2 linked regions of the Saccharomyces cerevisiae S288C genome follow. Changing the gene in region 1 together with any one later gene gives a genetic interaction. Each region holds a gene or a part of one and is shown in the gene's direction. Other genes may lie near its edges.

Region 1 (5,804 bases):
AATGGGCGCAGGCGGATCCGCTACACATGCATCTCCCTATGTCTTAGCCGCTTCTATTCACGGTGTGAAAATTGTTCCACATATTATCAACGCTGTTATTTTGATTTCTGTGGTTTCAGTGGCAAATTCCTCTTTGTATGCTGGTCCAAGACTGATTTGCTCTTTGGCCCAACAAGGCTACGCACCCAAGTTTTTAGATTACGTTGACAGAGAGGGCAGGCCCTTGAGAGCTCTTATTGTGTGTTGCGTTTTCGGCGTCATTGCTTTTGTTGCAGCTTCATCAAAGGAAGAGATCGTGTTTACATGGTTAGCAGCTATCGCAGGCTTGAGTGAATTATTCACATGGACTTCCATAATGTTGTCCCATCTGCGATTCAGACAAGCAATGAAAGTACAGGGAAGGTCTCTAGACGAGTTGGGATACAAGGCCACAACAGGGATTTGGGGTTCCATATACGGTGTCTTTTTTAATATTTTAGTCTTTGTTGCCCAATTTTGGGTAGCATTGGCCCCCTTAGGTAATGGGGGCAAATGCGATGCGGAATCCTTCTTTCAAAATTATTTAGCTTTTCCAATATGGTTGGCCTTTTACTTCGGATATATGGTTTACAACCGTGATTTTACGCTATTAAATCCCCTCGACAAGATTGACCTTGACTTCCACAGACGCATTTATGATCCAGAGCTAATGAGACAAGAGGACGAAGAAAATAAAGAAAAACTAAGGAATATGTCTTTGATGAGAAAAGCTTATCATTTCTGGTGTTAAACTTAACTACACCACTCAGGTCTGGACACTTCCCATTAGAGCCGGTTGATGATATCACGGCATGTCCTTAGCGCTGAGTAGGTATGACTTCACAAGCACATTTGCTTGTGCCCTCCCCTCCCTTAATGACCTTATTCGTTTCTGTAATTTTATATTTTTTTTACATACATTCATTAATCATCCGTAGCATACATACCCGCACAATGTCGTTATTGTTTCAAATTTTGCTTTATCCTCCCTTCAACAGAACGTGAAGGAGGAATTTCTATGGCTTTGGAAACCGTTCCTATTCTTGCCTATCCCTTCCAGCGCCTGTCAAACCCCGCCTAAACAGTACTACCTCTTTGGGTAATGGAAAGGATATTTCACCTTTGAATGGCCAGGTAGGGAAAAAAAGAAAAAAAAACCTTTCTTCTTCTTGGTATTTTGACTAGGAGGCCATCATGAAATAGTCACAGAAACAACAAATTTATTGTCTTGGCTTGCGATCCACATTGATAATTACTTTCTCGGCACTTGCGGCGCACACATGCAGCCGGACGGCAGCAAGATTTTCAAAACCCAAGCAACCGATACTCAACACAATGGAGCCCAACAAATTGGAGTAATGACCTTATTGGGTAATCAATATTCCCAAAAAGAGCATCAGACGATCTGGTTATGGTTTTTCTTGACTATAACCTTAATTATGAGACTAATGTCTTCGGGAGGTCCCTTTTCCGATTTTCCGACTCTTTTCCGTTGAAGAATGTACTTGTGGTTTTGAATCCTACGGCAGTTATTGCGGCGGTTTGGCCCTTTCTTTCAAAGATTGTGATGGAAATAATTGATTGTTCCGGGAAATGTGTCTTATTTTCTAAAAGCATCTTTTTTTCTCTCCAATTCTTCGAGCTATTTCCAGTAAAGGAAAAAAAAGGTTTGCTGTAAGGGTGAATATGTCTCCAACCTCTTTGAGGTACTGCGTTGCTTCATTCACCATTTAATATAAATAGTACATTGGCAGCCCTCTTTCAAACGTCAATTATTCTCGCTTGCCTAACTTTGTTCGGACCGAAATTATAAAGGCATTCAATCAGTAACAATAATTGCTATTGCATAACTATACCCTCTGCTAAATAAAATAAAATGTCCGTTTCCAAGATTGCTTTCGTTTTAAGTGCCATTGCCTCTTTGGCCGTCGCTGACACCAGCGCCGCCGAAACTGCTGAATTGCAAGCTATTATCGGTGACATCAACTCTCATCTTTCTGACTACTTGGGTCTAGAAACTGGCAACAGTGGATTCCAAATTCCATCTGATGTCTTGAGTGTGTATCAACAAGTCATGACTTACACCGATGACGCTTACACTACCTTGTTTAGTGAATTGGACTTTGATGCTATCACTAAGACAATTGTTAAATTGCCATGGTACACCACAAGATTGAGTTCTGAAATCGCTGCTGCTCTTGCCTCCGTTTCCCCAGCTTCTTCCGAGGCTGCATCTTCTTCCGAGGCTGCATCTTCTTCCAAGGCTGCATCTTCTTCCGAAGCTACATCCTCTGCCGCTCCATCCTCTTCTGCTGCCCCATCTTCTTCTGCTGCCCCATCATCATCTGCCGAATCATCTTCTAAGGCCGTTTCTTCTTCTGTCGCTCCAACTACCTCTTCTGTCAGCACTTCTACAGTCGAAACTGCTTCCAATGCCGGTCAAAGAGTCAATGCAGGCGCTGCCTCTTTCGGTGCTGTTGTTGCAGGTGCAGCTGCTTTATTGTTATAAAAGGGAACCTTTTACAACAAATATTTGAAAAATTACCTCCATTATTATACCTTCTCTTTATGTAATTGTTAGTTCGAAAATTTTTTCTTCATTAATATAATCAACTTCTAAAACTTTCTAAAAACGTTCTCTTTTTCGAGATTAGTGCTTCTTCCCAATCCGTAAGAAATGTTTCCTTTCTTGACAATTGGCACCAGCTGGCTACTCGTTGCTCGAAAACTACTCTCTTTTATTTTTAATTTACGAACGATTATCTTTCGAAGGAACGACCAAACGAGCTAAATATGGGCATCGCCAACGTTAAAAAAATGGACCCTACCGAAGACGTTATTATGCCAAGGCGCAGCGAAGAGTCTTTCTCCTTGAGAAAAAATATGCATGAAACAAAATAGACAGGACCAGACCCTCTTCGGGAAAAAAAGTCAAGATTTAACACGTGGCTACACCGGCTGGCTTACAACCAACCAACATAAGATCAAACAACCCTCAAGTTTAGAAAATGCCTTAATAGCAACCTCTAAAACCATAGACTTCTCCATTTTCACGTGCTAAAAAAGTTCGGGTATGATGTCATACAAATCCTTTCAACAAAAGATGCTTCAAGATCAATGGCACTCGAGATCATAAATCCCTGCAGAGCAGCGGCTCTGCATATAGAATAACAAACAAATCGTATTTTTCCCGAAGCCAAGAAAAAAAGGAGACTATAACCTTTCAAGCCAGACGGAAAACTATCTGCCCAAGGACAAACTGGCATGGGCTGCTTCAATGTTCGGCTACCTTTTTTCTCTTTTAACGGGGTTTGGTATTTTTTTTCTTTACTTCATAAACGAATGTTAAACGACTGTGAAAAAGCCATCCCTGGATTATGCGAGAGTACTCTCAGGGCACCCGTCCGTTTAAAGACCCCAGGCCAAAATAAAAATTTCTTGAAGGAAAAAAATACACAGGGCCTTGAACTGAATACAAAGCCATCTTTTTTCTCGTTTGTCAGCACGTCCCAGAAAAACGCGCAGCCGTAGCTCTTGATAAGTGGCTTCTGCGTTTTGCAACGCTTTTCTGATCTCATGTTTTCTTATGCTGCGGGACATCATTGTCGTTGAGAAAAGTTTCAATTTCAAACGAACTGCCTACCGTTGCATTCTCCTTGGAGAAGGGCCTGAGTTTAGGGGAATCACGTCTGGCTATTACATGCTACATCGTGCAGTAGCTCCTACATCGCTAACAGGCAAATCCTACACCCTCTTTAAATCGTTTATCTTTTATATATTATCTGGCCTAAATTTTTACATATAAATATTTATCATATTATGACAGCTCAAATGAATTTCCGGCACCAAGTCATATGAGCACTCGCTACTGTTCGAAGAACAAAAAATATAAAGCTTCTACAAAATTTCCAGATGTCCATAGGTTACAAAGACAACTTGATGTCAACTATTCTAGCTAAAGATAGGAAATGTGAATTTCCCATCAATTTCGAATGTTCGCCCTCCCAGATAACTCTTATGCCTGAAATGTTCTCTTTTAACAATGAAAGGAAATACCAAACCCTGATACCCTTGATGAAAACATCACATCTAATTGATGATGACTTGAAAGATAAATTGAATAAGTGCGCTTTCGATTTTTTCTCCGGAAAACAAGCGAACAGAACGAGTGACGGGACTATTTCAAGATTAACAGCAAGTGGAAAAACGTCACCGATACTGCCATTGCAAAATATTAATATTGTAAAAGCAGAGAATACCGGTAACGGTAAATCAGATCCATATAGCTCAATTAAAATAAGCAAACCGACAAAAACCGTGATAAAATTGAAATCTACGAAAACCAATACAGCAGGACAGAGGACTCGTCATTTCTGTAAGATCTGCTCTACTGGGTTCACCACTTCTGGTCATCTTTCAAGACATAACAGAATCCATACAGGTGAAAAAAATCATATCTGTCCGCATGAGGGCTGTGGACAGAGGTTTAGTAGACATGATAACTGTAATCAGCATTATCGAACTCATGCAAACAAGAAGAAAAGAAACTGGAAGAGGAGGGAGGCTAGCAGTTGATGTGAGTGAGCTCAGCCAAAAACATTTAAATATTCAAATAACGTACAAATAAAAGACTGATAAATAGTAATAAAACTAAGCGGGTTAGTAATACTCACCAAGAACAATAGCAGGAACGATAGTCGGTTCTCTTTCGTAATTTTTTTAAGTCACAACCCGGAGGGACGTGAAGTTTCAAACCTTATTCATTCCGGGATTACCCTCTCCTGTGATGACGTTTAGGCAATAAGGACTAAAAAAAAAAAAAAGAAATGCTATGGCAAATTTTATTGATAGAAGTGGTAATGATGATGGAAGGGCTTTTGAGCAGGTGAATAGAAGGTAGCTAACGGAAAAGAGTTATTGCACCCTTAATATAATGAATGATGAAATTAATGAGCCACCGCCCAATATATGTGAGCAGTGCTTAGGTGATGAGGCTAATATACGAATGACTAAAATTCCACAAGGCTCTGAATGTAAGATTTGTACCTTACCGTTCACCTTATACCATTTTAAGACGTCTAAACGAAGCAATAATATCATTAAAACATTAATATGTGTACGGTGCGCCACTCAGAGAAACATTTGTCAATGCTGTATGCTTGATTCAAGATGGCACATCCCTATACAACTGCGGGATCATTTAATATCCCTTGTGAACGAGGAAAACGTTATGACGGAGGAAGCAAAAAACGACATGATGAAAAGGTTTCTGTCACTAAAAAACGTGAAATTAGGAGGAGCTCAGATTACGAGTGATCCGTCAGAAGCAGATAATATCGTTGATAAATTGAAAAATATACTTCTGCGAGCAACATCAGATGGCCCAAGTACTCCGTTAATAAAAAACACAACTGCATTGTATAAAAATGAAAAAGGTGCAAATGAGGTCAAAAACTTGGAAAAGTACGCGTCCGTGGACATTTCTCATATTTTGAAGAAACTACCCTTGAATGAATCGTTTTTAAAAAACCCCTCCACCAAATCATTTTTTCTGTATAATATTGATGCCTCGATCCCTGAATGGAAAATAACTGATACAGTTTCGCAATTATTGGGTATAAAGAAATGGAAGGATGGAAATTCATTGTCATTAATAGTCAACCACAAGGCGAAGTGTGGTGGCCTAAGATTTCAATCTAGTGAATTGGGGGAGCGGTTTGTCAGTAAAATAAGTGAGACACTTGTCACACCAAAGGGCCTAAAGAGAGGAGTTTTACTTATTGACC
Region 2 (4,051 bases), on another chromosome or scaffold:
ATGCGCAGAATGTGGGAATGCCAATTATAGGGTGCCGAGGTGCCTTATAAAACCCTTTTCTGTGCCTGTGACATTTCCTTTTTCGGTCAAAAAGAATATCCGAATTTTAGATTTGGACCCTCGTACAGAAGCTTATTGTCTAAGCCCATATTCAGTCTGCTCTAAACGGCTTCCATGCAAGAAATATTTCTATCTCTTGAATTCGTACAACATTAAACGTGTGTTGGGAGTCGTATACTGTTAGGGTCTGCAAATATGTAAACTCTCGGCGAAGGCCTTGGTGCAATTACGTAATTGTAGCCGCTGAGAGGCGGATGGTATTGAGAGAAGTTGATATTCAAAGAATTGATTATGATAAAAAAAAAAAATTGTAACCAATCCGTAAATACTGAAACTCTTTGCAGTAAGAAATCTTTCATCCCCAGAGAGAACGCGGAAATATTCAGCCTAAGTCTCTCCAAATTGATTTCTTTCATTTTGGTAGCGAAAGACTTAGTATCAACCTCAAAAAGTTGAAATTTTTGTAGATATATGTGCGGATGACATGAAGTATCCAGCTCCTTTGTGAATATGGAAGCAAGTTTCTTTCAAATTATTATCGACTTTTCCTCTGCCCCTTTTACCTTATAACTTTAGGAAACACTACCCTATCCATACTCAACTAAAAAAGTAGTACGTTTTCTTCTTTGAGAGGTATGGTGCAAACCAGTGCAATCTGATTCCAGATTGCCCTCACGTGAGGCTTCAGTAAATCTCGATCCCTCTACATATTACATTATCTCCTACTTGGCAAAATAGATGTGGCTTTAGTTGATGAAAATTTACCACGTCAACTATTTATGTCCTTTCTACAATAAACCCCGACCTACTATCCTCTATGTTGTTTTTAACATACCATACGAGCGTCATATGTCTTTTGGTTCACTGGGGAAGACCATCACTGTTGAACGTTTGTTGAAAAGTTCGAGATGATGAAGATTGCATAACAAAATGTAAAGTTATTTTTAGAAACTATAACGGTTCAAGACATTCAACACTATAACATAGCTTGGCTGGCTTGAACATAAAGAGGAAGAAGCAAAAGCAAGAGTAAAAAGCTTCTCATTTATTTCTGGCATTGTTGATCACCCAGTGCAAGCCCAATTTCGCCTGTGCTTTTCTTAAATTGTTTCTGACAACACCGAGGTTTTCGCTGCAGAAAAGGAACATATGGTGGTAATTTGTATAAGGGGTTAAGGGTCCAAAAATTTGCTACCCTGTCGCTCACTACAGCAAAATATCTCGAGATATCCGAGGAGTTAAAACTGACTAGACCTGTTGCGTAAACCTCATGCAAGCAGTACTCTTCGAGGATTTAAGCTTTGGAACTGCTTTCAAAGTTGAGAGTATATAAGGTGTTATGATCTTGGAATAGGGTTTTTCATCGTTCTTCCTTGTTCTCTTTTTTCATTGGTTGATCAGTTGTTAAATTTTGTCTCTTTCGAAAATAAGGATATTTGAAGACAACGCAAAGCTATCAATATGCAATTGATTTCCATCCTCTCTTTGTTGTCATCATTGATGTGTTCATTGACCGTTTTAGGGTCTTCCGCAAGTTCCTATGTTAAGTTTCCTGTTCAAAAGTTGGCTGATATTATAAATATATGCACACAGGATGTTTCTACCGTCTTCAAAAGAAATGAGGTTCTTAACACCACAGTGATAAATGGAATAGGAGTGTATGTTGTCAAGATGGAAATCGGAACGCCTCCACAAACGTTGTACCTACAGTTAGATACTGGCTCTTCAGATATGATTGTGAATAATGCTGACATTGCCTATTGCAAATCGATGTCTGACGGATCTGACTACGCTTCAACTGATAATTACGAGCTCACAGCAACGTTCAATGGGCTTCCTTCGACTACCATCTCATCAGAAGCTTATAACACTCTCTGCTCTTATTGGGGTACATTCGATGCAAGCAACTCATCTACTTTTGAGAATAATGCGACGTTTTTCAATAACACATACGGAGATGGTACGTATTATGCAGGGACTTATGGTACGGATGTTGTCTCTTTCGAAAATATTACTCTAAATGATTTCACTTTTGGTGTATCAAATGATACAATAGGCAATCCAAGTGGCATTTTAGGCATATCGCTTCCCATTGCAGAATTTACAGATGGTATCGAATACGCATTGGCATTGAACAGAACACCTTTCATATATGATAACTTTCCAATGGAATTAAAAAATCAGGGAAAGATTAATAAAATAGCGTATTCTTTATTTTTGAATGGACCTGATGCACACTTCGGGAGCATCTTGTTTGGTGCAGTGGACAAAAGTAAGTACACAGGACAGCTTTACACCCTGCCTATGCTGCAGGCATTCAATACCCTTGGCTCAAATCCTGGGATGATTATTACTGCACAAAGTGTGGCAATTTTGGATAGTGAATCTGGCAATAAAACTGTTTCGGATATTCAATTTCCAGTGATGTTGGATTCTGGCACAACTTTCTCCTATTTACCCACCGAAATTGCAGAAGCAATCGGCAAAAGTTTTGACGGAGAGTACAGCTCTGACGACCAAGGCTACATCTTTGATTGTTCAAAAGTGAACGATACTTTACTGTCCGTCGACTTTGGAGGATTTAATATATCGGCAAACATATCCAATTTCGTAACATCAGCTAAGGATCGTTGCGTTTTAAATGTTAAGCAATCCGAGTCCACTTATATGCTGGGAGATGCTTTCCTTGTCGACGCATATGTAGTCTACGATTTAGAAAACTACGAAATTTCTATTGCTCAGGCTAGCTTTAATAATCAAGAAGAAGATATTGAGGTTATCTCCGATACTGTCCCAGGTGCCACCCCTGCTCCCGGATACTTTAGTACATGGGTATATAAGCCCGGTAGTCCCATCGGAACAGGAGATTTTATTAATGTCAGCTGGACCTCGTATTCGGAATTTTCACAGTACAAATCATTGCTTGCCACCGCAGCCCAAAGCGATGATGCTAGTTCTTTCTCAAGTAGTGGCGGCTCTAGCGAAAGCACCACTAAAAAACAAAATGCAGGTTACAAATACCGTTCTTCTTTCTCCTTTTCATTATTGTCCTTCATATCTTATTTTCTTTTATAAGTAGAGAAGAGATACATAGTTTCGCAGTGTGTTACTGTGTGGGACTGTATAGGTGAAGCCCTATATACTGTGTAAAAGGCGATGAAACTTTATTATGTTATATATCACTGCTTCATATAAAAATAAGAAACCTACAGCGTAATGATTATACATATGACGAAGACTGTTAACTGCAATAAAGATAGTAACGACCTTATAAGTGCACACTTTTTCCCCAGGGCCAACGCAATGGCGAATATTGTCAAATAAGCTAACAAGAAGAATAACACAGTGCTAAAAAGCAGTGAATGTTTCATCTTCTCCATCGCGGCTTCCTTATCTTACCATTTTTTCTTTACTTACCTTCCACTTTGCCGCCCAGCCCTGACTGTTTTTAAGTGCAGCTAAAAAAATCTATCTAATCACTCGCCACATATATCCTACATAATACGTCATACTCAATGCAAAGGTAGCTTGAGGTATTGTTCTATCAAGTCCACACTATGACGCAAAGAAACATCCGCATTTTCTAATTTAACGAAGTTAATTATATGTCTTTTTTTTTTAGATAACATCGGTTTGATTACCTGCCCCTACATCTTTTAGGTGAATCTTTTCTGCTAATAATCAATTATATGAACTATTAACATTCCTCTTGTTAAAACTACTTTTATAATAAAGTCTATGATTCATTATACTCAATTGAACTGTATAACGCTATAAATTGGTGTAAGAATCCAGGATTAGTGTTAGTAGTATGTAAGAGATACGCCACTCAAAATTTCTGGAAAATATATATATAATGGAAGTGCCCGCTATTTAGAGAGAAGCACAATTACTTTATCAATAGACGGTTAAAAAGAGGGCAACAATATATGTCTGTTTGAGAATATTGCATATCTCGCGAGCTGGACTGTGCTTTTTCCGCCAATATGTA

Evidence for each region.
Region 2: mutations in TIP1 (region 1) and YPS6 together harm fitness more than expected from each alone (negative genetic interaction), as found in Saccharomyces cerevisiae (one large-scale study listed by BioGRID).

What each region holds. Positions count from the first base shown.
Region 1 is NC_001134.8:368,826-374,629, reverse strand, and holds TIP1 (putative lipase), read left to right. Parts: upstream 1-1,894; coding exon 1,895-2,527; downstream 2,528-5,804. Other genes in the region: branched-chain amino acid permease BAP2, read left to right, coding at 1-769; NRG2 (Nrg2p), read left to right, coding at 3,931-4,593; Pre-mRNA-splicing factor ECM2, read left to right, coding at 4,952-5,804. UniProt on the Saccharomyces cerevisiae protein: Seems to have esterase activity. Prefers ester of fatty acids from 4 to 16 carbon atoms.
Region 2 is NC_001141.2:429,582-433,632, reverse strand, and holds YPS6 (aspartyl protease), read left to right. Parts: upstream 1-1,521; coding exon 1,522-3,135; downstream 3,136-4,051.